Tamandua tetradactyla: one gene and its partners. The protein of the gene in region 1 interacts with the protein of each later gene in a pairwise test. Links are inferred from orthologs where the notes say so. Each region holds a gene or a part of one and is shown in the gene's direction. Other genes may lie near its edges.

What was found.
Region 2: the proteins of ATXN1 (region 1) and ESRP1 interact in binary tests that used the Homo sapiens proteins (3 or more experiments, as listed by UniProt). The link is inferred for Tamandua tetradactyla from reciprocal best matches to the Homo sapiens genes ATXN1 and ESRP1.
Region 3: the proteins of ATXN1 (region 1) and ZBTB32 interact in a two-hybrid assay, tested with the Homo sapiens proteins (2 studies listed by BioGRID and IntAct). The link is inferred for Tamandua tetradactyla from reciprocal best matches to the Homo sapiens genes ATXN1 and ZBTB32.
Region 4: the proteins of ATXN1 (region 1) and LASP1 interact in binary tests that used the Homo sapiens proteins (3 or more experiments, as listed by UniProt). The link is inferred for Tamandua tetradactyla from reciprocal best matches to the Homo sapiens genes ATXN1 and LASP1.

What each region holds. Positions count from the first base shown.
Region 1 is NC_135351.1:19,862,356-19,869,914, reverse strand, and holds the start of ATXN1 (ataxin-1), read left to right. Parts: upstream 1-4,471; 5' UTR 4,472-4,681; intron 4,682-5,540; exon of another isoform or gene 5,541-5,854; intron 5,855-6,012; exon of another isoform or gene 6,013-7,559. UniProt on the Homo sapiens protein: Chromatin-binding factor that repress Notch signaling in the absence of Notch intracellular domain by acting as a CBF1 corepressor. Binds to the HEY promoter and might assist, along with NCOR2, RBPJ-mediated repression. Binds RNA in vitro.
Region 2 is NC_135332.1:138,183,640-138,191,966, forward strand, and holds the start of ESRP1 (epithelial splicing regulatory protein 1), read left to right. Parts: upstream 1-5,302; 5' UTR 5,303-5,560; coding exon 5,561-5,692; intron 5,693-6,201; coding exon 6,202-6,330; intron 6,331-7,549; coding exon 7,550-7,663; intron 7,664-8,327. UniProt on the Homo sapiens protein: mRNA splicing factor that regulates the formation of epithelial cell-specific isoforms. Specifically regulates the expression of FGFR2-IIIb, an epithelial cell-specific isoform of FGFR2.
Region 3 is NC_135342.1:30,268,525-30,275,861, reverse strand, and holds ZBTB32 (zinc finger and BTB domain-containing protein 32), read left to right. Parts: upstream 1-4,419; 5' UTR 4,420-4,431; coding exon 4,432-5,303; intron 5,304-5,576; coding exon 5,577-5,650; intron 5,651-5,749; coding exon 5,750-5,818; intron 5,819-5,939; coding exon 5,940-6,104; intron 6,105-6,275; coding exon 6,276-6,550; 3' UTR 6,551-6,812; downstream 6,813-7,337. UniProt on the Homo sapiens protein: DNA-binding protein that binds to the to a 5'-TGTACAGTGT-3' core sequence. May function as a transcriptional transactivator and transcriptional repressor. Probably exerts its repressor effect by preventing GATA3 from binding to DNA.
Region 4 is NC_135332.1:28,270,899-28,279,102, reverse strand, and holds the start of LASP1 (LIM and SH3 domain protein 1), read left to right. Parts: upstream 1-5,179; 5' UTR 5,180-5,376; coding exon 5,377-5,445; intron 5,446-5,907; exon of another isoform or gene 5,908-5,931; intron 5,932-8,204. UniProt on the Homo sapiens protein: Plays an important role in the regulation of dynamic actin-based, cytoskeletal activities.

The sequences.
Region 1 (7,559 bases):
GGATAATACCCTCCTTCTAACAACCTGTTTAAGGGTCAGTGTTTCCATTAAAAATGCAAACTTTCCAGGATTTATTTCCCAGCCATCACAAATAGCTCTGGCAGAAATTCGGAGAAATTTTGTTCCTGAGCAACTGCCCTCTCCCAGGTTTTCAATGATTCTGGTATTTGAATCTCAGACTTGAAAGCCTGATTGGTATGATGATTCTGAGAGGGGCTGGGCCAATCACTGAGGAATCCTCCGAATCTTTTTGTTTTATCATGGTAAATATTAACCTTTTTCAAAAGATAAGATTTGTTCTGCTGTGAACTCTCTGCACACTGTGTCTTATTTGTCTTTGTCTTGTCAGTGCCTAGTCATTGTAGGTCCGTAATAAATGACTGCTGGGGAAATAAGTAAATAAAAAGTAATTTGAGAATTAAGACAGTGTCTTTTCAGTAATCACTACATAGTACTTTGAAAAACTGTTGAAACTGTCAAAAACAAACAAACAAAAAAAACACAAAAACAATGACCATGTGGCTGGATCCTTAATCTCTGTGATTTCATTCATCTGTGAATACCTCGAAGGTTTATTCTAACAATTAAATGACATATAATGAAAGCATGAGTTGGTTCTACAACTTTTTTGAGGCTGGGCTTCACCATCGATCTTACCTACATTTTGGGAGCTTTTGAGGATACGATACCAAAGAGCTATGGAAAATATCAAAATGCTGCATAGACACAATTGGAACGTATATTCTTGCTACTCCCAGGCTTAAGGACGAACCCCTACAATTACTGTCACTGTAAGCATTGCAAAAAAATGTACATACTTCATATAATTTGTGTGATTCCAAATGAAATGAATTTCTCTGATGCATGGTTAATTGCACTGGGTTAACTTAACGCCAATGTTTTTAGAGTAACAGGATTTACGCTTAGAATTGCCTTGTTTTGTTATCATGTGATCTTGACTTTTGACAAGAGAAAAACTAAGACATTTTATGACTTCTGAGGTCCACTTTCTTTTAAACTTTATACAACTCTAAATAAATATATCAACATTCTATTAAGCTGTCAAAGGCTGTTCTGATCTGTTCAATTATTTGGCTGTTATAACCTGGCAAGCTGTTTTGGTTTGTTTGTTTTATCTTGTCTTATACTACATAACAGTCTACTTCCAATAAAAAGGTATACTACAACGTAGAATCTGCTAGGCTTTGGGGGCCTGTACACTGTTTTATTAAGCACTCTCGTGCTCCCTCTGCTGCCATAAGGAAAACATTCACGTCTGAGACCCCAGTACATTTCTTAGCATAGTGTTCTCTTTTGACAATGATGATACAGATTTGTGCATAAATTAGGACTCTTCTGAAATGGAGTACTATCCGTTCAAAGCATATAATGTAATAATTTTTTTAATACCAAAAATCACAAAAAGGAGAGGAGGGAGTGGAAAGGAACAGATAAAAGAATTAAGTTCTGCACCTGTGGCCAAGTTCATTTAGCTAGAGCCCTGTAGTATAAACCAATGTTCCTCACAAGTACTTGGGAATCGCCCCGGGGGTCTGGCTAAAATGCAGATTTGCGTGCAAGAAGGGCTGGGGTGGAACCCTTGATTCTGAATGTCTGTAAAGCTCCCAGCTGCTGCTGCTCCAAGGACTACTCTTTAAAGAAGCAGGGATATAATATATAATTATATGATATAGTATTCACTTGATAGCCCTTTTTAAACCTTCCGAATTAGACACTACCAAAACAATAAAATAGATGCGATTATAATTATTTATCCATGGTATTTAAGCAATCCAGAGCACAAGCTAGGTAGTGAGTCTCAGCAGGCTTTATTTCTAAATTTCCTTTAATTTCAAAGGTTGACTTACACTTGTCTGAATATAATACGAGGTTTATGAATAGGACTCTAGGACTATATATTTGCCTACTGGCTGCTTGAAAGCCCTGCTCTTCTTCTTTCACTGAGTTTTTATTTTGCATGAGAAAATCTTGTTTTTAAAGAACCAGTGCCTGTTATTTGTGGCTGTGTGTTTAATATTTTGCCATCTGAGAACAAAGTATTTCAGGGCTAATGGTAACAAAAGTGTATCATGAGCATTTATGTTTATGTTGGACCTTGCAGAGAGAAATAGTTACAGATTTTAGTCACAGTTTATGGCTTTAATCTTAATGGCTAAAAAAGTAAATGGCACATTTCCTATTGTTTTTACTGTTTGGTGAGTATACATATTTAGCTTGCTTGAGGGAATATTTAAATTAATGGACTAGCGCTAATCTGAATTATGTGTTTTAATTTGCTTAAGGCTGTTAAAACAGCATAAATTAACTGCTTCTGTCACTGTAATAATTAAAATATTTGCTCTTTTTTTATTGAAAAGTCTCTAAATGTAAGATGTCTAAAAGTAGAGTGGAGGTGGGTTGGGCAGTCTGCAGATGATGAGTTGGAATAAAAACATCTCAGTTAAGCCAAAAACATGGCAACCAATATTTTCTGCTATAAAAATATTTTAGATAAATTTAGTTTTTATGAAAGCTGTCTGAAACGGAAAGAAATGGCAGAAGCTCTGTGCTTCTTCACAGGCTAGTAACAGTAATACCTGTAGCTCAAAGCCTACATCTTGTCCTGGTAAAGCCAACAAGCCCCGGCTTGATTCGGAAGTCGGCTCTGCCAAGTGAGGGAAGAGATATTATGTGGTTATGTTCTCCGATATTAACCTTCACTTTGATAAAGCTTGTCAACAGAAACAAAACCAAGCAGAGCCTTTCCAGGAAAATGATTTTAACTGTCCACTAGAGGCTGTAATGAGACCAACAATGTCACTTTAGACCAACCAGAGGTTTAAATTGTAACAATCATTGATTTTTTTAAATGGAAAAAAAAAAAGTTGTAGAATTGAGTAAGAGTGAACAGTAGTATCTCTATTTAAATAGCCCCATATATGTGCTCGGAGTTTCAAAATGTGAAAAAAAAAAATTTCGGGGCTCACTACCTTCCTAGTTAGTATATTTATTTTTTACTTTGGGAAGCACACGGGTTCTACGATAGTGTTGCTTAAATGCTTTTCTCTCGGTGATTCTGTATCCTGCTTTCAGTTGGTGACTAAGCCTTAAGTCATACGGAAATTCGGCCAGAGGCGTTTCAAATACGGAGTACGGTCAAACTTACGTGGAGAGGTCGTGCTTCTGTACGCTTGGTTCAGAGTATCTCAAGGAGGTCAGATGCTACTCTGACACCTACTGGCCTTCCAGAATGATCTGCAGCAAGGAGAACGCTGGCCGAGCTTCCTTGGCACGGAGATGCCTTTTCCCCAGGTGCCACACCTGTGGGCGAGGTGCACCCCACCAGTGAAGGTTGCTTCCCACCGAGCTCACACCGCAGGCGGTACACGCAGAGGAGGCAGGGCGGCGGAGAGTTAGAGGATCCGACTGAAAAATAGAGTCCGGAGGAAGTTCTTCGGCGTGGATTCTCGAGAACTGTCATTTGATGCTCGGTTGGCTTTTTCTATCTCCTACACTGCTTACCTCATTTCCGATTAAATTAATGATCCCGAATTAGCCGGAGAGGAGTTTGCGGGTCGTCACTCCCGGCTGGAGCTGAGCAGTTCAATATCTAAAGCAGATTTCCGGACCTGCAGAAAGAGAAAGGAGGGAAGGCGCAGAGGTCACCAGCTTTCGCCCGCAGTGAAGGTGAAGGCGCACGTGGAGTCGAGAAGACCCTTAAAACTTTCCTGAGTTGCGAAGACGAGCAAACCCCGCGGCCCCAGGGTCTGGGTTCCGGAACGGCCGGCTCTAAATCGGTTTCGGGGTTAACCTGCAGCTGGTGATCCGAATCAGCCCTCGCAGTCGCTTCTAAGGAGCGCCGGGGACCAAGGGCACGTCGGGGTTAGAGTGGAGCTGACCTTCCCTCCCCCTTCTCCCCCTTTCCCCCTCCCCGGGTTACGCACTGGCTCTGAGCCAGGCTTCAGCTGGCGCCCGCCCCCCCCCCCCCCAGGAGGGTCTCCCAGCGTGCCAGAGTTGCACCCCGCTGTTCGTACCTCCTCCCCGGCAAGGTGCAGGGACCGGGGTTGGCGCGCGGGGACCCACAGATCACCGCTAAAATGACCTCATCGCCTCCGCTCCCCGCCCCTTTCGCAAACCTAGAAGGAACCGGGCCCGGGTCCTTGTCTCCCCCACGGAGCCACTCTGTCGGGATGGGAAGTGGCGGCGGAAAGGAGCCGCCTTCCCTGAGGACCGCCCGACCCCGAAGGGTTAAGGGCGCGGGGCCGGCCGCTCGCCGTGATCGGTGAGGCTCGCCGGGCCGCCGGCCAAAGCTCCCCCCCCAGCCTCCTCCCCCCACAAGAAGTGAGATCCTTGAGCTGCGGCGGCGGCAGCCAACTGCTCCATATTTGGCTTCTATTACACATTTACATACTGGAGCGAGCGAGCTAGCGAGGGAGGGCGGGCGGGCGGGCCAGAGGAGGGAGGAGGCGGGGAGGGGAGCGCGAGGAGGAGGAGAGAGCAGAGTATACCGCAGACATCATTTCTACTACAGTGGCGGCGCCGTACAGGACCTGTTTCACTGCAGGGGGATCCAAAACAAGCCCTGTGGAGCAGCAGCCAGAGCAACAGCAGCCGCAAGACATTGTTTCTCTCCCTCTGCCCCCCCTTCCCCACGCAACCCCAGATCCATTTACACTTTACAGTAAGTGGCTGTTTTTTTTTTTTTCCTCCTCTCATTCTCTTCCCCCTCCCCCTCCCCCTCCCCTTATTTAGATGCCCCCCCACCCCCCGCGCTCTCTCGAGGGGGGCAAAAGAAACAACCAGCAAACAAACCCCAAACCCCAAAAGGCGGCACGGAAAACAGCTGGAAGAGGAGCGAAGGAAATAGACGCGTTGTGATGTGTTGTGTGTGTGTGTGTGTGTGTGTGTGTGTGCGTGTGCGCACATACAACCGTCCTGGGCTCTAGCCTCGCGGGGGCTCACATCCCCCCCCCCGGCAGGCAGGGTGGCAGGCCGGGGCTGGGGGAGTGAGGGTGGGCTTTCGCGAGGCGAGGGGGGCGCGCCGGGCTGGGGGCGCGGACGGCGGCGGAGCCCTGCTCCGAGTGCGGAGAACCATGTCGTCCCTCGGGGGAGGGGCGCAGGGAGCGGCGGCGGCGGCGGCCGGGGGTCGCGCTGCCCTCTCCTCCCGCTGCCCCCTCCGCATTCACCCGCCCCGGCGGGAGCTGCAAGAGCAAGTGGGTCGCGGACAGGCCGGGCTTCCCCGAGGGTGGCCGCCCGGCTTCGGCGCCCGGGGGTGGGGGTCTCCCCGCGCAGGCCGGCCTCGGAGGCGGTGCGGCTGCGGCCGGGGGAGAGGGCTGCGCCGGCCGCCCGGCCCGGACTTTGCGCGTGGCCCGGGGGAGTGGAGAGGTGGCCGCGGGGGGTGGGGTGGGGGTGGGGTGGCAGCGAGGGTGCGGGTGCCCGGAGCGCCGCTGGAGTGGCGGTGGCGGCCCCGGCTGCCGCCGCCCTGTTGGTGCTGCCGCTTCCTGATCATGTGCAGCCGCCGCCGCCCGGAGCCCGGAGTCCGCGAGCGCCCGCGGCTGGAGCAGGGGAGCCGCGGCGGGCGCTGCCCTGCGCTGGGAGTGAACGGCTGCGCGGCTGCTGGGAGGGTGAATGAAGCCAGGAGGAGGGGAAGGAGGAGGAGGAGGAGGCGGCGGAGGAGGCGCTGCGGGGATTGGGATGCGCCCTGGAGCCCCGCCGCTCTTTCACTCTGGGCCGGCCCGGGCCGGGGACTCTGCTACTCCCGCGGCTGCAGCCGCCTCCTCCTACGAGCTTCCAGCGCTGCGTGCAGGCCGGTCCCGCCGGGGGCAGGGAAAGGGCCGGACGCGCAGAGCTAGAGGTGAGGCGGTGTCGGAGCGGGGCGTGAGTGTGTGTGAGTGCGTGTGTGTGTGTGTGCGCGCGCGCGCGTTGGGGGGAGGGGGGAGGGCCGTCGCCCGATGGGGAGGGGGCGCCTCGGTGGCTACTTGGCCGACTCTGCAGCGCCCCGACCCCCGTTCAGCCCCCCGCCCCCAGGCCGCCTTCCTAAACTCCGTGGCTTGTGCTTTCATTTTATTTCAGACCACGTAGGAGGTTGACTGGAAGCGATGAAACAATTCAGGTTTTCTAGGGAGATTGAGCAAGAACCTTAGTGGGGGGTGGAAGTAGGGTGGTGATCGAGATTGTGCCAGAAAACAAAACAAAACAAAAAAAATCACAGTTTCTACGGACGATGGGGTTCGGGTCATAACCGTGGCTGCTCTGTTTTGTTTCGCTTTCTTGGTATATAATCCTACACATAAGATGGTAATATAAATACTTGAGAAGATTGGGAAATTGCTGAAGAGTAGTAATGGCAAAGAAAAAAAAAAAGCCAGTCGGAAGCGGGTTATATAATGCGCGATGTGGCTAACAAGAACGGCAAGCTATTTTTATTTTGTTTACCGTATGCTGTGCAGTAGGGACTCTTCCAAACTGGTTCTTTCCCCGAAGAGATTCTTAGCTTCCTTCTGAGATCCACAGGATACAATTAGCAAAATTAGAAGACCCCATTACACCCGCAGGAAAAAAAAAAAAAAAGAAAGAAAAGAAAACTAATGCCTTACAGTGGCATCCTCCCTGCAAATCCTATGGTGAAGGCACGGGAATGTTGTATGCAAATAAGTTCTGCTTTAGCAATCTAGTAGTCACATCTCAATGACATTTGTGTTTTATAATGCAGGCTGCTCTTAATATTTAAACATCATCATTCTGTATCGCGCGCAGCAGTGGGTAGTTACTAGATGGCTATTTTTAGGCACAGCTGGTTACTTTTTCAAAAATATTAGCTAAGCCTTTTCTTTTTGGGTTTCTGAGGAGTCCTGCAGTTCCTAGAAGCCCCTGCTAAGCCCACCCTCTGGTTTATTTGGTGGGTAATGATAGTTTGATACTTGGGCTTCTTTGGAAGGAAGCTCTGCCCCAGGAAACCACCAGAGAGAAGAAGGAGAAAATCCTGCACAGGAACTCTTGGAAAGGGATTGCACCATAACCGCTTGTGCTGTGCCATTTAATCTCCTTTGATTGCCCTCTAACCGTGCAGGCGTTAGTCAATATTTTAGCAGCTCCGTAAATAAATGGGCCTGCCTACTACCTTCTTCTACATAAAGCAGAGGTCGAAGGGCTCTCCTGAACCTCCTGCTGCCTGTCTTTCTCATCATGTAGATACATGTCAGTGGTGTAGGTTTTCGGTGCACTTACTCCAGCCCTGATCAGTCATGTAATTAGATCAGGCTGCCATGGTAACAGACAGTGTTCCTTGGTCCATTCAGGTGGGAGTGCCTGAACTACTCCAAGTGTTTTCTGCACAGTATTTGTGCTGCCCGAGCCAGACGAGAGACTTCACTATTTCAATTGCACCCTCTTTCAATTCTCTGTCATTTGGACAAGAGATACTGAATTAGGTTTCTAGCTACTCAAGTTTACGAAAGAGACCAAGAACCAGTTCTTACTCGGTGCGGTATGTAAATGAATATCTCTCTGCATGGTGAAAGGAGCCTGACAGCCTTACTGGTGTTTGTTAACAGATCAAC
Region 2 (8,327 bases), on another chromosome or scaffold:
CTGAACTTAACAATAATTTAAATACTTCAAACAGAGACCAAGCAGGGAGATAATTATTTCCTGGACTGTAGGTTACATTTTGTCAGAACAAGAAAATTAACTTTTTTTTGTATGCTATATGAAGGGGGTTACATTTCATTCTTTTTCCATGAGTATCCTGCTATTGCAGCACCATCTGTTGAATTTGTTTGTTTTGGGGTGGAGATGTACGGGCATAATGGAACCTGGGTCTCTGCATGGCAGGCAAGAATTCTACCACTGAATTACCCTTGCATCCTCGAAAATTCACTCTTTATCAGCCAATAGATGGATAAATGGCAGACCATCAGGAAGCAGGACTCAGGACATAAGAGAAACAAACTACTTTTCCTTCTTGAAACCTTTCTTTAAACATCCATTCCTGTCAACCTTACCTTGCCTTAAAAGATAAGTCTAGTCGCTTAGCTTCGCTCTCTCTGGCCTGGATTTTGGGAGCAGGGATGTGTTTCTGGGCAAGGGACTGGGGGGGAAGCAATGGATATCTTGATGGCATAAGACTAGGGTTAAAAAGGTAGGAATTTCCTGAGTAACATCTTTTTTTCCCTGGATGTGCAGTTAAATGGGATCGGTTCTGTAAACCTAAAGAAGAAGGTGTATTTTATAAGCCACAATGCCCAGATTAATGGTGCATTTCCCTATGTGTATTTTTCTGTACATTTCCTTATGACACAGCTGTAAGTAAAGTCTTCTGTTTCAGCCTGCCAAATTAACATCAGACAGTTAAGGGCCTCTGTGATTGGTGTTTTAGGACCCTTTCCATTTGTGCATTTCTCTTTGAGTAGTAGTTTTCCTGGTTCTCAGATTTGTTTTCTTTATTTAGAAAGATTCTTTACACATTCCCTTTCCCCTTACAACCTATGAAGTATGCATCATTACTAGCTCCATTTTTATTTTTTTAACATGGGCAGGCAGCGAGAACCAAACCCTGGTCTCAGGCATGGCCGGTGAGAACTCTGCAACTGAGTCACTGTTGCCCGCCCACTAGCCCCATTTTTTAATAGTGAGTTTAATAGTGCAGAGGAGCAAATGGCGGGGCTGACTATTAAGTCCAGAGTTTTTCCAATCTGTAATAATTGCTATAATAAAGTTCAGACTGGTAATTTATTTACATGCATAACACAGAGAAAAATTCATAGAAAATTATCATTTATTTAGTTATCATAACCATCACTCCCCCCTACCTCTTCACTTCAGAGAGGGTGAACTTGTTCAGGGAGTATAAAATGTGGTCTATTTTACAACTGCACCTTTTAAAAATATATATATAACTGCATCTATAAGAATAAGAAATATCAATGGCTTGTGGTAGCCTCAGAACAGGGTTTTATTTTGATTTCTATTTTTTTAAAAATTGAAATATAATTAACATACCTTAATATTTATGCCTTGAAAGTATACAATTCAGCAGTTTTTAGTATATTCACAAGGTTGTACAACTCTCACCATTATTGTCTAAATTCAGTATATTTTCATACTTTGATTCACTTTTAAAGTCTCTTTTCTTAAAGATACAAGAGAATAACTGGTATGTGCAATTGAGAACTCCGAGAAAGTTCTAGAGAACTCAAATGAAACTGGAATCAGCAAAAGTGATGTTGTTACTGTAGCCTCAAAAAGGAAACTGCACTACAAATAATACGACATGTAGGTACCATTATGCCAGTGGTCATATTCCAGCAGACACATTCTTATTCGGTCCAGTTCAAGAGCTGGCCTCTAGAAATGATAGAGGAAAAGGATCAAGGGAAGGTAATGAAGATAATTAAAGGCAGTAAACTAAGATTCATCATGAAAGCTTTAAGGAGCTTGCAGTTACTTAGTCTAGGAAAGGTTATTTATTATACAGTAAATGATTGCTATACAGAAAATGGTGAACTTTCCCCCCCCTTCCTCCACTAAGGGAAAAACAAATGAAACAAAACAAAAAAAAAAAAAAAGGAAAGAAAACCCTATAGCATTAAGAATTAGGTTAGTATAGAAATATCAGAACCTTGTTAGACACAAGAATGGCAGAGGCAGCAAAAGTTCTTTGAAGTGTTTTTAAAAACTTTTATTTTTGAAATAATTTTGCAGTTATGCAAAGTTACAAAAATAGCATAAAGAAAAAAAAAAAACAGTATAAAGAAGTCTCTCACCCAGATTCCCCAATGTAACATTTTACCACATTTGCTTTATCACTTTCTCTGTATTTTGCCTAAAACTTGAGAGGGTAAGCTGCAGCCATAATACCCCTTCATCAATAAACACTGCAGCATCAAATTCCCATAAGCAGGAACTTCTAAGAAATCACAGTAAAATTACAAAAATTGGGAAATTAACACATACAATTATTTAACCTACAGACCTTATTCAAATTTTGCCAATTGCCCACTGCTTGTCATATATATTTATTTTCTGGTCCAGGATCTACGTTGCAGTTATTTGTCATACCTGTTAATCTCCTTTAATCTGGAACAGTTCTTCAGTTCTTCTGTCTTTTGTCTCAGATGGTATTTTTTCAAAGTCGATTCTTATTTGGGCAGTTTTAGGTGTGGTCTTGAGTGAAGACCATAGATAGAATGAAACTCCCTGCTAAGTGTTCCTACCACTTCATCATACCCATTCTTCTCACTATACTAGAATTAATAGATGGTGAGATAGTATTCAGAAATGATCCGATTACATCACAGATTTTTTTCTTAGCATTTCTGCATTTTACAGGTTGATTTTTTTTAACAAAAGTTTGCCCAAGAATTAACACCAACTCTTTTTAAACAACTGACCCAAATTACCTGCAGATTCCCATTCCCAGAATTTCACCTTTGCAGCTATGAACTATGCCCTCGACTCAGAAGACAAAGAGCTGGAAAGGTGGGTGGGTATTTCCCGTTAAAATCATTCAACAAATATTTGTTGAGTGCCTAGTATATTGCTAGATTCAGTTTCCAGCCCTGGAAGGACAGTAAGGAACCAAACAAAAAATCCCTATATTGTAAATCTAGTTGAACAAAACTAAAACTAAAATTAAAAAAAAAAAATCAGAAAGCGGGGATCTGGCTTCCTTAAACAGCAAGAGGGCAAGTCTCTATGAAAAGTGGGAGCTGAGATTCATGATTACAATCTGGATAATGCGGCGGAACCCCTGGCCAACGCATTAACAAAGTCCTCGGTTTATCAAACGCGCTGGACAAATGATTAATCTTAACACCTGGGTCGGGCTTCCTGAGTTGTTCTACCCACTTTCTCAGCAAAAGTCGCCGCAGACGTCAGGTTTCCTGGCCGCCGCCACACACACACACAGTCTCGCGCAGGAGCGGGGCTGTAGCTCCCAAGCTCTGGTCTGGCGGAGAGAACCGCGCACAGAGAAAGCCCTGGGGGTGGGGAGGAGGCTTCAGGGAACCGGCTCCTCCCGGAGGCCTCGCCCACTGCAATGCTATCTGGGTGGTTTTTCCAGGTCCCTCCCTGCCTCTTTCCGCGCCCAGTCCCTGCCCCCGCGGCGCCCGAGGGCCCGGGAGGGTGGCTCAAAGATGCTGAGGGTTGGGCAGGGCTAGGCTTCCGCAGCTAGTGAGCTGGAGGGACTGGAGGGACTGCGGGGAGTCCTTTCTGACTCTCAGATCCAGAGAGGGAAGCACGCGCTTCGGGGACACCAGCAGCAGACGAGGGTGCTACCGAGCGCCCTCACGGGCACTGGCAGCTGTTCAGCTCTGGGATCCCCGCCCCGGCGACTCCCGGTCCCCGCCCTCTCTCCGGGGACTCAAGCTCCTACCTGCGCCACCCGCCGCGCCCTTTCCTACCTGGAAACGCCGCTGCCCGCCCTTCGGGTTCCTCTCGCGTCTCAGGAGCCTCAACCCCCTCCCCACTTAGGCCCAGTCACCAGCTTCACCTGAAAAGCGTCCTGAAAGGTTACCCGATTTCTACCTAGGATGGATGCAGTGATAGGTGTGTGGATGCCCGATTGCACATCATAAATACGAAGGGCTGGGCACCTGGAGCGGAATTCATAATACCTCAGACGAAACTGTGTTCCCAAGAAGAGATCGATTGAAAATACCGAGTAAACTTCCCTTTATCGTCTTTTTCTTTAAAATGTCAACAGAACCCAGCACGAGGTAGTCACACTTGGCTTGATCTCTCTGGGGAAACGAAGCTGGGGTAGAACTGGGAGGTTGTTTGGGAACTTGGTCGGGGAACCGAGGAAAAAGCCTATTTTGGCCTAATTTAGGAAAACATTTATTAGGAACGCAGGGTAGACACATTTTATTTAGGGCCTGGGGCACACCAAAGGAAGTGGGCCCGTTCTGGAAGGCTCTCGAACTAGCAGTCACAACTAACCCAAACGGAGCAATTATCTGGGTAATTTAGAGAAAACGGAGTCCCTGAATTTCGTCACGGGGGTCGCCCTCCAGGTCTGGAGCGCCCGGAGTAGCTGCGTCTTTGGACGTGAGTTGGTGGCTGGGCGTCCAGTCTCCCGAGTCTGGCTCTGCCGCGCCCCCGAGGCTCTTCTCCGGAAAGTGAGAGACGCCCCGGGCTTAGGGGGACATAAGCCCCGGGGGTGGAGAGCGCACGGGGGTGGGGTGGGGCAGCTGCCAGCCAGTTTCGCCAGCTGTTAGCACTGGAAGGTGTGTTGGGCTTTGGAACGGCTTTTCCGATGCACTGCAATCGTCCCCGCCACCTCCCGGCTGCAGTTGGCCGGTCCCTCCCTTCTTCGCCAGCATGCCCTCCCGGGTCGCCGCGCCCAGGGCAGCTCCTCGCCCCAGGTCTCACCTCTGGCCTCCTTTCGCCTTCCGGCGCCTTGGCCTTTTCTCTTGACCCTTCAGCTCCGGCTTCGTTCCCTCTAGTCGGCCTTCCTCCGAGTAGCCTCCCCCGACCCACCTCTCCTTTGCTTCCAAAGGCCACCACCCTCCCCTCAGCGCCGTTTACCCCTCACCCCTTTCCCATCTGGCCTTCACAAACCTGTGGGTGGCTACCTCTAACTGCCCGCCCCTCCCGTCTCCCCCTCCTCCCCTCCCCTCTCCATTCATCCAGCCATTGTCTCCCGCCCCCTCTCCCCACCCCCACCCCCACCCCCACCGCGGGCGGCCTCCTCCCCCACCGCTGCCACGTCCTTGGTTTGAAGGAGCCAATAGGCCAGGGCCGCCAGGTGTCTGTCTCTTACCTGCACCACGTGGGGGAGGGGGAGGGGAGGAAGCGGGCAGGTAGAGCCACATCCCAAAACAGAAAAGCTTTCAGCCATTGCGCGCGCCTCTTGGAGGTGCAGCTCTTCTCCCAGCTTTTTGCATAGACGCACTGGCAACAGAATACAAAAAGGGCAGGCCTCCTGCGCCCGTCTTCCCACCCCCCTTCCTGCCCTGGGTGTGGAGCTCGGGCCAGGTGTGGGCTTGGGTGGTTGGTTACCGCCTTTTGCTCCGGCGGCGGCGAGGAGGGGGGGTGGGCGTTCTTTCTTTTTCTCTCAGAAGAGGCTCTAGCACAGGTTTTCCCGTTCTCACTTCCATCTCACCTCACCGCCTCCCGACCCCCCTTCTCCCCCTCCCCACCTATCGTCATGACGGCTTCTCCGGATTACTTGGTGGTGCTTTTTGGGATCACTGCTGGGGCCACTGGGGCCAAGCTGGGCTCGGATGAGAAGGAGCTGATCTTGCTGTTATGGAAAGTGGTGGATCTGGCTAACAAGAAGGTATTTCTGTACGTTTTTATCCAAAAGCAAGAAATGAGACAAGTTTTTGTAGAAGTTTTTTGGGGGGGTTGGGGGGCGGGAGTCGGTAAACAAGTGCTGTTTGCTCACTTGTGAGGCTGGACCCGAGGCCTAGGGAATCCAGAGTAAAACCAAACTTGTTGGCCAACCGCCTAAGAGCGGTTTCAAGTCCTCGGAAATCTGGCTCAGGTGCGGAGGCCCGCGCGCCGGGGGCAGGTTCTCTGCGGGTTGGAGGACCGGATCCCTGGGGTCTCCGTGCCCACTCCCAGGGCCTTTCCTACTTGATCCGGGTGGGGGTGGTGCGGAGGGGAGGGGGCAGGGACGCGCCGACTGTTCGGCCACCGGGCGGCTGGCGACAAGCGAGCTTTGAGTCTGAGGTCCGACGTCCTGGCGGCGCGGGCCGCCTCAGCAGGGAAGCGAGGGAGGAGGGTGAAGAAAGCGGCTTCCGAACTGAGGGAGGGGAAAACTGACCCCTGTTTCTCTCCCCGGAGGTGGGACAGTTGCACGAAGTACTAGTTAGACCGGATCAGTTGGAACTGACCGAGGATTGTAAAGAAGAAACCAAGATCGACGCCGAAAGCTTGTCCTCGGCGCCGCAGCTGGACCAAGCCCTTCGACAGGTGACAGCCTAGGGCCGCACAGTCCACCCCCACATCAGCCAGGTCCCGGGCGACCCCCCCGACTCGTCCGGTCCACGCGCGTACCCTGGGGCCAGGACGGGGTGGGGTGGGTGCGACACCCGGTGGCGTGGATGGGAGCGGGTCATCGAGGGCCGCCAAGTCTAAGCCCGGAGACCGGAGTGAGCGGTTTGGGCGGGGGTCGCTGCTCCTCTTCGCCTCCCGCCGCCAGGAACTTGCGAGGAAACTCGTTAGTTTTCGAGGCGCTTCCTGAGTCATTGTTGGGACCAAAGAGTCAGCAAAGTTTTACCAAGAGGCTACTGTAACGAGAGCGACAAACGGCCTTTGAATCCTAAGGCCCTCGTCCCTTGCCTATCCCCTGCCCGGATTTGGGTCTGCGGCTCAGCCTTGGGGCAGGGGGCGCTGTGGTGTAGACGTGCGGGCCGGCCCGGCTGCCCCAGCTTGGTCGCAACCTGGAGGAGTCTGCTTGCGCTCTGGATTTCAGGCTTCTCCACTCCCAAAGCCTCGCTTCCATTCCTCCTCACTACCCTTAGCTGCCTTGATTCTAGCACGGGGTAGGATTTGCAGGTCCGAACTTGTAGGTCTGCTCGTTGGGTCACTAGGGGAATACCCTTTTTGGAGCTGAGGTGACCTAAAAACTGGCTGTTTCAAGGATAGGGCGGGGCTCTAGACACCTGTGCACCGATAAGTGCTCGGCTCTGTTGCGGCCCCTATCCTACCTGGGGTGTATTTTAGGAAAGGGGTTACCATATTTTCTAGAGGTCTGTCTGTATACGCATCACCCACATTTGTTTATCAGGACTGACATCTTTCTTAAACCTGGTACATTCAAACATAAAGTAACACCAGGGAATGATGTAATCTGAAGGCAATCTGATGATGAAACGAGATCTCTGGCTTAAAGTTCTTGAATCGATTTACCGGAAAAATAGAAGGGTAAAACAGTCCGGGAGGATGCATTTACTAGCTTCTCCTACGTGAAAACTTCGGATTGTTTAGAAACAATCCGACCTACCTACCTGCCTAAAGGAAGCATTGCCGCGTTTGTAGGAATGGAGTCTTTTTTTCTAATATTGCCCCCAGCACCGGTGATCTCCATTCGCCCCTATAGTTAGCACGGGTATCACCAAATGGAGCCACTTTGTAGAGTTCGTAAATCCATGCATTAATTGCATCCGTTGTATATGTGTTTGTTTTCCAGTTTAACCAGTCAGTAAGCAACGAACTGAATATTGGGGTAGGAACTTCCTTCTGTCTTTGTACTGATGGGCAGCTTCATGTCAGGCAAATCCTGCACCCTGAGGCTTCCAAGAAGGTAAGAGAGCTGACTTCTAGAAAAAAAATGGACCGTTGGATGATTGGAGGTATTGTTTGTTTGGTTTGTTTGGTTTTGTGTATCTAGGTTTCTTTATTTTAAAAGATGTATGGCATTTTCATAGAGTGCCTGGAGTCGCAGTGATTTTAGATATCCTTTGGTGTCTTTAGTAAAATGTTTCTTCCCCCCTCTTTTTTTAAATCAAGTTTTTGAGATGCTTGACACTCCTTTTCCAAAGCTAATATGGTGTCTGATTTTTTTACATTTAAAAGAACTATCAGGAAGGAAACGACTATTTTAATACTTTGTAATATCCAGTGTTCCTGTTGAAAATGCTTTATCCCAGAAAAGAAGGCGAAAAAAGATACATTTAAACCTTTTAAGTTGCAATTCCAGTCATTCATTAAAAAAGCTTTGTATTGCTTGAATTAAGACTTAAGTGTAACTAGTGAAATGTTAATTATGGCATACTGCTGTTTGTCTGACTTTAAATGTCCAAACATTTACTCTTGTATCAAAATAATAAAGTCAGCCTCCTTTTTTACCTTTGCTACTTTTTCTGATATGGAAAGATTAAGGATTGAGAAAATAATTGTATTGTAGGTTAGAATGTGATTTGTCTCCCTGGGAAGAATAACCCTGGGCTGTGGGGAAATGAAGAGAC
Region 3 (7,337 bases), on another chromosome or scaffold:
TGAGGAAGCTGAGGGTCTTCATAGAGTCCCATATTAGGGCAAAATAAGTCTGTCCTTTCTGAAAATGTAGTGGAGCCTGTTTTCTGACTTCCAGTCTAGTTCTCTTACTAATTATTCCATAAAAAGTTATACTATTATAGGGTCTATCTGTGATTTTCACATAATGTAGAACATAAGTTTAAGGGATGAAAGGAACGAATTCACCCTGTCATATCTATTATCTGGTATACGCTGGATGTACTTAACTAAGAAGAGTAAACATCTTGAAAATTCATGTAAAATTTGGTCTTAATCTGTATAAAATGTTGTAGAGGGTTTAGCCACCTTAATTTTCCTGAAAAGATGTATTCCTGGGAAGAGTGGCAAATTCACAGAATTTTTCAAAGCTGAATCTTGTTTAACTTGACCTGGAAATGGGAGAGAGCTCAATATTTAAAATAAGTGAAGGGTGAACAATTTTCATAAAACAAATCATTATCCCTGTAACAGACTTATTCTGATGGCTTCATTTCAATTATAAAGAGAATTATGTTTTGCATTGCTGTGCCAATTTTTTTTCATTTCTTTCTTTAATCATGGTAACATGTAGGTAAGTTAAAATTTTCCACTTTAACTATTTTTAAGTGCACAATTTTTATATCAAACTGGATTGTGCCTGAAGGGGGTTATGAGGCCAGGATCTCTGGGCAGTTTTTTATTTAGTTCCGCAGACATGGTGTGCAATAAGCCCCTCACACATTTTCCCCCCTTATTGTCCCTTTGGTCAAGCCTATTAGTGAGAATTTAAAATTATCAAATTTCAAACATCATTTAGTAATATGAGTATCGAAAGCACTGAGAGGCAGAAATCATACCTCCTTTTATCACATAACTCCTTTTCTTACCTTTCTACCCACTCTACCTTCTCTCAGGATGCAGGCTTATGCCCTCTTGGCCTGTGGTTTCCTGGCTCCACTCAAAGGGGATAATTATAGGCAATATCTGCTGAGGCAGCCTGCGAAGTAGAAAGTGGGCAGGGTTCCTGAGGTCGGGAGCAGAGATCTTTCAATAACAGTCAGCACTGTCTGTATCCTTTTAAGTCAAGGAGCTATTTGTTTCTGTTGTCACTGCTCAGTGCTGGATGGCTTGGGCTGCGCTGTCAGCAATGTTGGGAGAGACTAGAGAAGGGCCTAGAGCATCATTGATTCTAAGGGTCGAGGTACAGAGAGCTCTAGAGATACCTCAGAGGAGCTGTCTCTAAGGGGATATCCTTAGGTAGGGTAGACACCAAGCGAGAGGCAAGATGGGGTTTCCCATTCTTGGGGACTTTTGCTCCCTAAATGGGGAGTCCCCTTGCCCCTTCTCCATTTTAGGCTCCCTTAAAGTCCATGATACTCTTGTCAAGACCCACATTTGGCTTACAGAGGTCGCTGCCCTCTGAACAGTCTCCAGATCTCTTGATCATTAAGAGATGATCCACACTGGTGACAGGAGCTGAGTTGCAGGCATGCAATATAGCGATGGGAGGTGAGGGGAACCATAATCTACTGGGTGATGATGTGCTCTCCCAGACCCCTAACCTTTTCCTTGACACTCGGGCATCCTTCTCATGGCTTTCCTAATTTATTTCATATCTTTAAGGATCATGTGTTTCTGTGTTGGAAGAAGGATTCTCTCCATGTACATTCAAATCAGGGATTGATTATCCCTTTGTGTGTCCGGGCTATGTGTCTTTTATGTGGGTGTTTGATGAGTCCCTAGGTGTGGTGATGTGAAGAGTTAGAAAGCTCAGAAATGGAAAATATTTAACGTTCAGAGTAGTAGTAGATGAATACAAGTTGCCCATTTGCATTTTTCCTTTCACTTTGACTCATCTTCCCCTCTCTGCACCCCATTGCCCCTCCACCAGCCCCACCCATTGGCACACCCTGTATGATCTAGGATGTGTTAACACCTACCTGCACCCAAACTTGGATGAGAGTTAGAGGGAAGGCATGTTAGGCATAGAAGGAGAGAACAGCAGGTTAACCTGAACATTTTAGGGTCTGGGAGCCCAAGGGAGAATAGGAACTTAGAGACACAAAATTTGAGTCTTGCAGAGGACCGGGATCTCAATGGGAGGCCAAGGAGCCAGACTGTCTTTTTTGTCAGCAAGGCAGCCTACCAGTGCCTGACATTCTTGTTTAACTTTCAGTTATTTTGTGAACATATATGATATGCCAGGTATACACTGTAAATTATTTATCAACATTTGTTGAATGAAAATTTTACTACTGGAGCAGGAATAGAATAAAAAGAAACAGAAAAACAAATGTGAGTCTCTCAGACCTCATCCCTTCCCCAGATTAAAGAGTACTAACGTGTGAAAAGAGCGGAAATCTCTGGGGACTTTGACCATTGGGCAGGAAGTGAAAGAAACCCTGAGACCTGATTTCAGAGAAATGTCATTTGTCATCAGCCCAAGAAAGTGAATTTTTCTTTTCAAAGACCACCACAGACCTTTCCTGGGGTTGCCCCCTCCAGAGTATGATGGGAGGATTTGAGTTACTCACATACCTTATTCTGATGGCCCAGAGTACAGGGGTCTTTCCCAAAGAGCAAGTGATACCTCTTAGTACCAAGTCAGGGAAAGGGAGGAGGCATGCCTTTGGCCCTTCTTCTCCTTCTCCTTGGAATGCAGATGTTTCAGTCTTTTTTACTTCTGAAGTAGAAGCAGAAACAGCTTCCAACTACTATGACTCTACTATCCCCTCTAAGAAACAGAACTAATACTATTTGAATGATGTTATGAACTTAGAAACCATTTTCACATACATCATGTCATTTCATCTTCACCCCATCTTCAAATGAGGTAAGAGAGAGTATACCTATTTCATGGATGAGGTAACTGAGGCTGAGAAAGAAGACTTGCCCAAGGTGATTTGACCAGTAAATGGTAGAGATGTGATTCAAGTGCAGGCCAGATTATCCAAAAGTCCCTGTTGCCCCAGATACATTTCTTTGACCCTAGGAGTTCACAAATGAAATAAGGAGACAGGTCAAGGGGCAAAATGTCTAGGTTCTGCAAATAGAAGAGGTAACTCTTCTTGGAGAAGTGAAGCAGAGTCAGGGGTATAAAAGCCACACCCCTTTGGGGGACTGTGGCTGACTGTTATTTGGGGCATCCAATGGAGGACTCTGAGGTCAGGGGCGGAGCTAGTTCCATCAGGCCCCCAGGAGTCCAAACAGTGTTCAGAGCATGCGGTGTCCAGGGAGGAAGCTACAACCGGTGAGTGGTTGCTTCTCCCCAGCTGAGGCTTTCCTCCCAATATATCCACCACCACCCCCAACTCCCTGGCAACCTGCAACCCTCAACCTAAATTGTCCAAGTAGTAGTTCTCCCTCCCACAAGGGTCCTTGTTCATGGTGAGCCCACCCCTCAGAATATGGCTGCTGGGAACCTGCACCTTGTTTTAGATTATTTCCCTTTGTAACTGGGTTCCCAGTTTTCTTCTTGAAAGCCAGTGTGGTGGATCTGATGTATGGTAAACTCCTGCCCTGCTGGGTTCTTTCAATTCTCTATTTTTCACTCATGAAAAACAAAATTAAACCATCTCCCTAACCTAATCTTGAGAGAAAATAGCCTCCTCCTCTATAGTTCCCATTTCCCTTTCTTCCACTTCCTCAGGAGTCAAAGCCTTCTCCAAAACCTCGCCATCCTTGGATTAGGAACCTTCTCTTCTGTGGTTTTTGTACCACCTACTCTCTTAATTCACTGGACAGTAATCTTTGGTCTCTTCCAGTTCCTTCTCTGAGGATGCATTCTAGAAGCTTCAGCCTCAGGGGAATGCCTGAGCCTGCTCTCCTGCAGCCATGACCCCTTTCTTGCTGCTCTCCATCTCTCAGGAGACTGAGCTCCACTTGATGGGCTCATGGGGGGGGGGGGGGGGTGGTAGGACAGAGTTTAGGTAGCTTTCTAAACTCTGCCCGTGAAGCTGTGTCTTGTGCCATCCCTAAATGCCAGGGCTGGCTGAGTTTGGTGGTGCTCTCTTTGTCTGGAATGAGGAAAGTCTGGCCTGCTCAAAGGTCTTGCTCTTCAGAGGGGCTTAAAGAAGTGGAAATATCAGAGTCTGCTATTTTTTAAGTCAAATTGCAAACTGGTAGTTCCCACCTATATTAAACTCACTACTTGGTGGTGTTTTTGTTAACTACCTGGTCCTTGCTTTTTAAGTCTTGAATTTGGTCTGATTTCCATCCCTATGCCCCATCCCTGTTATGATTCTGGATAAACTTAGCTCTCTCTTGGGCTAGTTTATTTGCCCCATTTCAGATCATAGAGCTGATCCTGGACTCTTTCTCCCCTCACCTTCACAGGCTTAAGAATATGCCGTTCCTCCCTCCCCTTTCCACCAAGGACCCTACACTGTGACCTTCCTCTCAGAACCTCTGAGATTGGTACCCAGATAAGGCACAATGCCCCTGAGCCCCACAAGACTGCTCAGTCCTTACAACTCTGACCGGCTGGTACAGCTGGCAGCCAGGCTCTGGCCAGCACTATGTGATGCCCTAATCACTGTGGGTAGTCAGGAGTTCCCTGCCCACAGCCTGGTGCTAGCAGGTGTGAGCCAGCAGCTGGGCCGCAGGGGCCAGTGGTCTCTGGTGGAAGGCATTAGCCCTTCCACCTTTGCCCAGCTTCTGCAGTTTGTTTATGGGGAGAGTGTAGAGCTTCAGCCTGGGGAGCTAGGGCCCCTTGAGGAGGCAGCCAGGACTTTGGGAGTACAGGCTCTGGAAGAGGCATGCAGCAGGGCTCAAAAGGACAGGGCTAAAGAGGAGTGGGATCCAGGGCCGAAGAAACACCAGGAGGAGTCAGAGGAACCTTTAAAGGATTTTGAGAGAGGACTGGGAGGCTTTAGAGAGAAGCAGAGACCAGAGAAGTTTTTCAGAGCTGGTGGGAAAGAACAAGAGATGTTGCATGAGTCCAAGCCACCAAGAGAGAGCCCCAACATAGCAGGGGCAATATGGGAGGGACAGGGGGTACAGATGAAATCAAAGGAGGAGAAACTCAACCAATCCCTGGTTGGTCAAGGGGGGAGAGATGGGAAGCCAGAAGTGGTCATGTGGGTGAGAGAGAGTCAAGGGGACTCTGAGGCAAGTCTTCGGGGACTAACAAGTCCCCTCCAAGCCAGCATCATCCCCAGGCCCTGGTGGGCTGAGGGCCCCTGCTTGGGGAAGGATCAGCCTGCCCTGTGGAGCATCCTGCTATGGCCGTCCAGATATGGCACTCCCTTCTCTCATAGCACCCCCTTCAATGGAGCCTGGCAGGAGGTCTGGCCTTGGAACCAGAGGTAAGTGAAAGGCCTAGTGTAAGACCTCCCAGGCTGGGAGGGAATGGCCCAGTAGTGGTGATGGGCGCAAGGGCACCATATCTCTTTATTTCTACTGTACATTTCCTAAGCTGGGGATAGTACAGGAAGCTCCCACCACAGGGGAAGCCAGAGCCCAGCCCCTGAAGAAGACTTAGGACACACCTCCCCAGACAAGGACAGGTTTGGTTAGGCCCCTATGCTTTGCCAAAGCTGTAACTCTGCCCCCCGCCCTGCCCCCGGCACCCTCCTCAGGACCCCACTGTCCCTGAACCCCCACAAAGGACTCTGGAGCCAGAACCTGTTGGCTTCTTCCAGCTCCACCCCAGGTAAGCTCCTTGCTGCCCTATAATGTGATCCTTCCTCTGGGGCAGGGGCTCCAGGAGTCCAGCCTGAGTAGGGCCCCTACTTCATTCTGTTCCCTCCAGGTTCCTTCCCCCAGTATCCCACACAGCTCAACCCTGGGGAGATGGAAGCGTCTGATCAGGGGGACACAGGTGAGTAGGGTGAAGGTGCTTTTGCTTTCCCACTGTGGCCCTAATATCTTGCCTGGGTGTTTCAGTGACCCGGTTCTGGGATGCCTATCCTTGCCCTCCTTTGACTCTTCTGTGCCCACAGGCCCTCTAGAAACCCACATGGGTCAGGACAGGAGAGCAGGCTACTCATCTCACCAACACTCTCCCCCAACCCCTCCTGCTCGGGAAAGGCCCTATTCTTGTTCTGTCTGTGGAAAGAGGTTTTCACTCAAGCATCAGATGGAGACGCACTACCGAGTCCATACAGGTATGGGCTCCTGCCCAGTGTCTTCCCAACTCCAGTCTGTGCGCTCCTGCATCCCTCTTTGCGTGCCCAGCTCGCGTGCACCCACTGGCTGGCCCCATCGCCTGATGTACCCCTAGCTCAGCAGGCTTTGCCTTCTTTCCTTCACTTGGCCTCCCCTTCTGTCCGCCCTAGGCGAGAAACCCTTCTCTTGTGGCCTCTGTCCCCAGCGCTCCCGGGACTTCTCGGCCATGACCAAGCACCTGCGTACGCACGGGGCTGCGCCCTACCGCTGCCCTCTGTGCCGGGCGGGCTGCCCCCGCCTGGCCTCGATGCAGGCACACATGCGCGGCCACTCGCCCAGCCAGCTCCCGCCGGGATGGACCATTCGCTCCACCTACCTCTACTCCTCCTCTAGGCCGTCCCGGGCCTCGACTTCTTCCTGTAGCCCCCCTCCCTCCACCACCTGAAGGGACTGTAGGGAGCTTCTTTGGCCGACGGCCGCCCGCCGCCTGACCCGGCTACTAGCAAATTCGGCTCCATACGCGCAGCAGAAAAGGTGAGGAGAGCCTTCCCAAGGACGACCGTGGGCCGCAGAAGCCTGGGCCGGCAAGTCCGAGTGGGATGAGGGCAGTTAAGTTTGCATGAGTGAAGATCAACTGTACGGGGCCTGATGACCGCATCATCATAATAAAGAGTTTCCTGTGCTCTCCACTCAGGACAAAAAGTCGAGTCCAAACTAATCTGTGCGCCGGGTCTCACGGGTCTTGAAACTTGTCCTATAGCGGCCCCTGGTGGCCATGCGCCCACTATCCCGCCCGGGAGCCAGCCGCTACCTCCAACTCTCGAGACACTCCGTTCTCCCCTGGAAGCAGCGGGTGTCGAGAGCTCGGTGTCAGAGCTGACATCGCAGCAGGTACTGAGCGGTTTGTGAGACACCAAATCACTCGCCCCTTTTACAGCAAGCAAGCCACAGAATTAGCGTGCAGCGCCTGTTTAGGCGCGCCCGGCCCGAGGCTCCAGCCGAACGCGGGCTCCGCCCTGCTTTTGGCCAGCCGACTTCTTTCCCTCAGCCTCTCCCCTCCGCGCTGTACCGACCGGCCTCCGCGGTCACTCCAGGAACTGAAACTAACCCTTTGCCCCTGCCCCTTCCCAAGCCCACGCCTCCCGGTGACGCGAACTCCATTTCCCAGAGTCTCCGAGGTCCCTAGGGCCGAAGTCTGCTGTGCCTTGGGAATAGTAGTCCACACGAGCCGC
Region 4 (8,204 bases), on another chromosome or scaffold:
ACTCCTAAAATTCTATTTCCAGCTCAAATCTCTCCCCTCAACTCCAGAATTAACTAGATCTCCAACTGCATATCCAACATCTCCCCTTCAATGTCTATAAGTCACCTCAAACTTAACATATTGACCCTAATACTAGAATGTAAAGTCCACGAGGATAGGAGACTGTACTTTTTGTTTTCTGTATACGAGTTACCAAAAGAAGCTCCCCCCCACCCCGAACCTACTCCTTCCTCAGTGTTTTTCCTTTTTCATTTTTGTCATGGGTAGGCTCCAGGAATCAGACCCAGGTCTCTGGCATGGCAGGTGAGAATTCTGCCACTGAGCAACTGTTGCAGGCTTCCTCAGTGTTTTTTATGTCAGGAAATCACATCACCATCCATGCAGATGGTGAAGAAAAAAGAAGACTTGTTCTTGACATGCAGAATCTGGATGCCTCCGTTTCTTTTCATCTTTGCTCTTCCCAGTTGTGGAAGGCTAAATTATGCCCCCCACCCCCAGGATGTCCATCCTAATCCCTGGAATTTGCGACTATGTTACCTTGCACAGTAAAAGGGACTGAGCTGATGAGATCAAGTTAAGGATCTAGAGATGGGAAGAGTATCCTGGATTATCCTAGTGGACTCAATGTAATCATGAGTCCTTATGAGAGAGAAGCAGGAGGGTCAGAGTCAAAGAATGAGAAGTATAGATGGAAGCAGAGGTTAGAGGGAAAAAAGATACTATGCGGTTGGCTTTGAAGATGGAGGAAGAGGCCACCAGCCAAGGAATGAGGGTGGCCTCTAGAAGGTGGAAAAGGCAAGGAAACTCTCTTTCCTCCTACAGCTTCCACAAGAACACAGGCTGGATAACACCTTGATTTTAGCTCACTGAAAGTGATTTCAGAATTCTGACTTCTGGAACAGAATGAAAATAAATTTGTGGTGTTTTAAGCAATTAAATTTGAGGTAATTTGTTACAGCAGTAAAAGGAAACTAATTATGCCAATGTAATCTAAGACATCACCCCAGCTCTCTCCTGAGTTATTGCAACAGATTCCTAACTAGTCTCTTTGTGCTCACTCTTTTTGCATAGGTATATATGTGTCCATTCTCAACTTTCTAACAAATCTCCCCAACCTGCCTGGTGATAATTTAAAATCCCTCTGCTTAAAACTCATTTGATAAAATCAAAACTCCTTACCTTAGTCTTCAAGCTTCTCCACAGCCCTGACAACTTCTCCAGCTCCCATTAATCGCTCTCCCCTTGCCCACTTCCCTCCAGCTCCTCTGGCCTTAAGCCTTTGCAGTAGCCATTCCCTTTGCTTGGAATAAACGTCCCCTTGGATGGTAGTCTCTGTCATGTCATTCAGGTCATAACTCCAATGTGACCCGCTCAGAAAGTCCTTCCATGGCTACCCAACCTGAAATGGACTTCCAGTACTCCCTAACTTGTGTTTTATTTTTTGGCTTTTAAAAAGGGATCTTATTAAGTTGCAAGTTTACAGTTCTAAGGCCATGAAAATGTCCAAATTAAGGCAACCAAAGATACCTAACTCCAAAGAAAGGGCCGATGAAGTTCGGCTGGGAAGACACATGTTGATGTCTTCCTCTCATTTCATAAGGCTTCCCTGGGCATTTTCCTTGTGGCTCTCTTGGCTCTAATGCATCTTCCAAAAAATCACTTGTGTTTTATTTTAATTTTTTTCCTATCACCACTGGGTATTTCCTTGTTTATTTGTTTGTTCCTCCATTTCTAGTCTGTCCCTCTCACTAGACTGTAAACTCAGTGACAGCAAGAGCCTTTGCATCTTTCTATGGAAAGTATCTCCAGCACCAAGAGAGGGATTGGCATAAGTGAGCATTCACCACCCCCCTTCCCCCCCCAAAAGACAGGGGGACTACTAGAGAGTTTGGTCAGGGAAGGCCTCACTGGGGACATCTTTCAGTTGGTGTTTATATTCTTTTTTGGCAAGAGCAGGGGAAAAGATTCCATATCCAGTTTTGCAAGGGGCTGTTTTCTGACTTATTAGGGGAGAAAGATGAGTAAGATTTTTGATAACCCCACTCATTTTTAGAAAAGGCAGATTAATGTAAACAGATGGTTTAATGGGAACTCTGAAATTGATGAAAAAGAAACCTACCACATTTAAGCCAGCAGGGGGGGTATAGCTCAGTGGTAGAGCATTTGACTGCAGATCAAGAGGTCCCCGGTTCAAATCCGGGTGCCCCCTCGCGGAGTAAGTTTTTCACTGCCTTTCAGGGACTAAGCTACCCAAATAAGAATAATGTGATAGATAATAGTTAGCAGGTTCCAACATCAAAGCTCTCAATAAATTACTCTCATTTAATTTGAGATGTAGGTTCAGTTTTCCCTTCAGATGTTCCCACAGAAAGAGAAATAGAGAGCCATAACTCAGATATGCCAGGAGCATCACTTTAATGCTTCCCCGACTCTTGTGCGCACTCTGCTCTCAGTTCTACACTTGAGTTATGGCGCCCAGCTATTCCTACCTTGGAACACCCAGATCAGTTGGATACTACATGGTTCCACATGGTTTAATGTTAATTGTAATCGATTCTTGGATAAAAATGGCATGGCGTGGTGGGGCAGGTTGAGAGAGAGATCAATATTATTTTGCTTCGTTGGTATACTGACCCAAAAGACTAGAACAAAACCAGATTCTGAAAATTTACACACCAAGTTTAACAAAACAGGGAACAGATACAAGAAAGAAAAAGGCAAAATGTTTTCCTTCCTTTTATTAGTTGAAAGGCAAGGTTTTTGCTGGATAAATTGTAGGTCGTATTATTTGAGGCCTGAAGTTAGGGGAAAGGGTTGAAAATTTTGGCTATTTCTTGGGTCTGATCTTTGTAGGCGACAGCTCTGCTCTTTTCACGTCCAGCTCAGCCCGGCCGTTCACAGCCCCGGGAACCGTGGAAAAAGAATGTATTCGAGTATTCCCCCGCGAGCCAGAGGGATGACACAACCAGATTCCAGATTTAAAATATCGCAGCTGCCCCCTAACCCATGCAGCATGCTTCTTCCTTTCTCCCTAATTTTTCCTTTTTTGGGGCAAAATCCAGCCGCGCAGGACGCTCTTGCTTCTCCCTTGGCATTTTTCATTTTCCTCCGGCCCAACAGTGATATGGTTGCTCATTGAACCAGGCGATATCTGTCTCCATGTTTAGGATTTGAAACTCGGTGGCCTTTTAGTAGTATTAGTTCTCAAACTGTGGTTCCCCGAGCAGCTGCAGCAGCATCACCTGGGAACGTGTCAGAGATGCACATTCTCCGGGCCCTATCCAGGCCTAGGGAGTCAGAAACAAACAGGGTGTGTTTTAAGAAGCCCTCCAGGTGATTCCGATGCACGCTCATGTTTGAAAATCACTGTACTAGATTATATCAGACTGCATCGGAATATAACTTCATTTTTGTAATTTAAAATGGGTTTATGGATTTGCACGGGCCGTTTTAATGTTCTCGAAGTGCTTTCACTCTTTCATAAGGTGACCACAGTACGTCCAAGTCCCCGGCGAAAAAGGAAGCTGAAGTTGGAGAAGGTTTGTCTGTGGATTTCCGTTCTGACCCCCCCACCCCCACCCCCGGCATCCCCATAGGGAACAGAACGCTCATCTGGGGTATCGTCCAATTGAACCCGGCACCTTGAACTGCCCGCCACAGCTGCCCGCGGAAACCCCGCAGCCCCTCGCGCGGAGAATGGCGACCTACAGCTATTGTACCTGAGTTGTGCGTGTACCCACCCCCTCCTCCTCCTCCTTTCGCTGGGCTCAAAACAAAACCGAAAACTTTCTGCTAAGGTTGGAAAATGCGGAAGGGACTTTTTTCGTTTTTCTGTTATCCTAGGACCCTATGTTTAAATATGAATCAGGAAGGAATTAATGGTTCGCTCGCGGGTTTCGACACACACACACACACACACACACACACACACAAAGAAAAGGAAAGTATAAAACATAAGTGTCCTGGCGGCTGTGGCGCGCCGGGTCGCGGGCGCAACTTGAGCGCGAGGCTGTGAGAGGGCGCAGCGCGCCAACGTCCACGACAGACGCTGACGGACGAGTGTCTTCCTCTGGGTGAGCCACCTCGCGGTGGCCGTGTGCAGCCGCTTCGACCACATCCCAGCGCCCACCTCCCTTTCTGGAGACACTTCCGTCACACCGCGCATAGGCCTGGCCCAGCGCTCAAGCCAGAAAGACCAACAAACTGGTGTTTGTCAGCTACAACCTTCCAAAACAGACGCAGCTCCGCATTGCTTATGGGAAACAGGATCAAGGAAGAAATGAAGGCCTTTCAGGAAAAGGTCTAGCTGAGTGGCGGAAATAAGCGTTTGTAACTTATGTACGATATGATTTTAAAGAAATTTATTGCATTTCTTACACACATACAACAAGAATGAAAAAGAAAGCCACAGTGGTGATAAAACGTGAAAGATCCTACCGAGGGGGCACCCGGATTTGAACCGGGGACCTCTTGATCTGCAGTCAAATGCTCTACCACTGAGCTATACCCCCTCGCCAGCGCCGGGCCTGGCAATGGATTTTTTGAATGCTAAGACACTGTTGCAGCTGTTACATTAGGAAAAGAGAGTGGGAATAAGGAGAAAGGAATGAAGGAGTAGAGGAAGCGAAGCTGGAAGCACAGGGTGCCCGGATCCGGGGAACCCCGAGGAAAGGTGCATGGCAGAGCGCCGGGAGGAAAGAACCAGCCGGGCCGCGAGGCGCGGATTCCTCGAGCGAGGAACGGGTTCTGCCCCACAAATGTGGGAAAGGATGTATAGTGGGAGGGGACCTGAGAGGATTCCCGCAGGTTCACCCCAGAGACAAACGGGTACACAGGGAAGTCCCGAATAACGCCTCCCTAGTGACTCTAGCCGGGCGTTCAGGAGCGTTCCAACCCCACCCGACCCCCCACAGCCTGGGCGTCCCAGATGCGCTCCCAGACCCGCTCTGCGCTGCCTCCAGCGCGGGAAGGGCCCTGGGCAACACCGACTGCCCGCATCTGGCGGTCGGACGCGTCTCCCCAAGGCTCAGTCCACCTGGGCGCGCCGAGGTGCTGGAGGCCCTCTAGACGCACCTACCGCCCGCCCCGCAGCCCTCCCCGGAACCCGCCCCGGCGCAGCCCCACGTTGCCCGGGGAGCGCGCCTCGCCGCGCGCGTTCCTGCCCGCGCCCGCGGCGCGTCCCCGCCCCGGTGCAGCCCCTCCTCCCCGCGGTGTTTATTAGGGGAAGGAGGGCGGAGGCGGAGGCCAGTTCCCCAGCTCCAGCCGCCGCCGCCGCTGCCTGCCTAGTCGCAGCCGCGGTAGCCTCCCGCCAGCCAGTCCCCGGGAAAGAGAACGCGCGCGAGCTCAGGCGTCCCCGCCCCTGCCTTTCCTGGAGCCATGAACCCCAACTGCGCCCGGTGCGGCAAGATCGTGTACCCCACGGAGAAGGTGAACTGTCTGGATAAGGTGAGGCTCGGGACCGGGACCCGGACCTGCGTCTTTGCAATTCCTCGAGTAGTGATCCGGGTTGGGGGAGGAGAGAGGGGCCGGGTCTCAGCCTTCACATCCCTGCGATCCCGGGAGGAGGGAAGGAGGGCGGTGTCATATGGTGGGGGCAGTCCCCAGTCTGGAATCCAGGGGATCCAGAACGAGGCTCCGAGTCCACGCGTGGGCAGCCACTATGGAGAAGAGTGGGCTCTGTGCCCCGGGGCTGGGAGGACGGGAAAGGAGCCGGGAAGCCAGGCCGGGGGAGGAGGGTTAGATTAGGGGTGCAGTCCCGCCCCCTAGGGCCGAGAGAGCTAGAGGAGACGGCCGCTCCCTCTCACAGCCCAGCCGAGCGCCAAGTAGGCGGAAGCGCCGGGCGCTGGGGGAGGGGGCGGCGGGGGGGGCGGGGCAGAGGCTGGGGGGCCCAGAGAAACCGTCCCTTCAGGCCGCGGATGGCCACGCTTCCTGGTCAGGAGACTGGGGGGGCGGGGGCCATCAGCCGGGGAGTGTTGCATTTGGTGAAGAGGGCTTCGGATAAGATCCCCGCCCCACCGCGGGACCCCCTTTTTGACCGACCTGTAGCCCCCTTGGTGGTTCAGTGGTTAATGGTATGACTGACCTCCACCCTTAGCTTCCCAACCTCCACTTCAAATTTAAAGCCAGTTCCCAGTGCTGGGCAGCCCAGCTTGAGTAGGGTGGGGTCGGGTGCTGGAGTGGGATGGGTGGGGGGTGCTTCGCAGAGAGCTCCTGAAATTGCGCTCAGAGCTGGATACCGGCTTGTAGAACAAAGACCTAACTTTTCAAAGCAGGTTTCCCTGATGGAGGGTGGGGTTGGCTGAATTCAGAGGAAGACGAGGAAAGGGGGAAGTGTTTTGGGGGAGGGGAGGGTGGCCTTCTGGAAATTCACTGTCCCCTTGAGGCCCTTAAGTGTGCCCCCACCCCCTAAGCTGGACTCGTTCATCTGGTTGTCATTATATTTTGGTGGTGGTGGTGGTGGTGTGTGTGTGTGCATGGAGGGGGGGTGGCGTTGCAGAGAGTAGAACTGGGTGTTTGCAGCACAGTTTTGGGGTAAGATCCAGATCACTTGGAAGCTCCCTAAGGTCCTAAGCCAAACCTGCTCCTCCTCAGCATCCCTCCCCAGAAGAGTCCCTGGGATTTTATCCCTCTTCCCATGGTGTCTTCTCATCCACCTCCCAAAGCTGGTTCCAAATCCAAATATTCTCTCCTTTCTTTCAGAACTGACAGGGGATGGGGTATGGGATGGAAGAGGGCTGCAAAGCCCTTAAGCCAAGTTCATTGCTGATCTGGAGGGGGTTTTGTTTGGGAAAGGATAGCTCATTGGATACTTTGTCTCTCCCCTCCCCCCTTGGGGTTGCAGCTTCCTCAATGAACTTTAGCCTCTGAGTCAGGGTGAGGGGGTGGGGTTCCAAGGTTCTGAAATATGTTCATACATACTTTTAGGGGAAGGGACCATTTGCGTTGTTGCCGTTTCACTGTCCCTCCTAAGTTTGGCTAGGAGGAAAGGAAGGGCGGGAGGGGAGGAAGGGACATATTGTGGGCAGGAGGGGAAGGTGCTAACCTTCCCAGTGACCATTTCAGCTTTTGGAGGGCAGGAATTGACTTGGAGGCACTAGAACTAGAAGAAGTCCCTCCTCCAGAACTTATCTGTCCTTGCCTACTAGGGTTTTTGCCCTTCTCTTGTGGTAAGGATTTTGGCCTCTGCATCCTGAGTTCCCTATGACCCTCTTTCTCCCCAGTACTGAATTGGAAACAGACTGTGGGGACTTTCTTTCACCCATATAAGGCAGAAGCAATACATAATGGAGGAATAGCTAGGCTGGGAGTTGGGAGATTTGGACCAAATTCTAGGTCTGAATCTTCCAGCTTTATGAGTGGTTCTGTGCCTCAGTTTTCATCATCTGTCAGATGGGTATGAGGATGTTATTTCTGTGGAGGGGGCAGGTGCCTATCAGAGTGCCTGGAGGGGGATGTGGTGTAGGCTTTGCCCTCCCTATCTTTCTGGGATCCCCTGGCAAGTCCTGTCCCCAGCTCTCCTTGTAAAGACCGTCTGAGCTGTGCATCCTTGGCTGGGGTGGGCAGTGGGGAGAGAGGAGCAGGGATCCTTCATGGTGCCTTCCCCAGCTGTTTTCTGGCCCTGGGCAGAAGAAGACTTTAAGGTAGGGGTTGCCTTAAGAAATGGGAGTTGGTGATACCTGTCTCTTTTTAGAGCATTCCCTATAGGTTTGGCAAAGGGGAGCCTTCCCCACCCTGCCCTGAACAGGAGCCCTGGAATATCCAGGTATCAGACCAATTCCTCCCAGCCTCCTCCAGGCAGTAAGGCTAGGGCCTGGACTGGGAAACAGTACCTGGTGGATGCTGGGCTAAGACCTGGGAGGGTGGAACGTTTAGGCCCATAGGCACTGTTGTTAACCAGTTTTTCCGGGTTTTGCATTTACAACAGGAGAGAGTCAAATTAGACTCTTTCCCTACAGCACTTAGCCCACAACGTGGCCAAAGCATACGCTCATTCTTTAGATGTTAGCCTTTTTTCCTCCCTGAGATTTATCTCCCAAGACATGGGTAGGTAGAGGCCATTCACCTCTGTGTGGCCACCCTGTCCCAATCCTGCAGTACCCTGTGTGCTCAGCACCCTGGATAAATATGTGTTGCTGGTGACAGTGTTTGAGGAAGGAGGTTGAATTTGCTTCCCTAGAGGACTTCTGGGATTTGGGTTGAAGGCA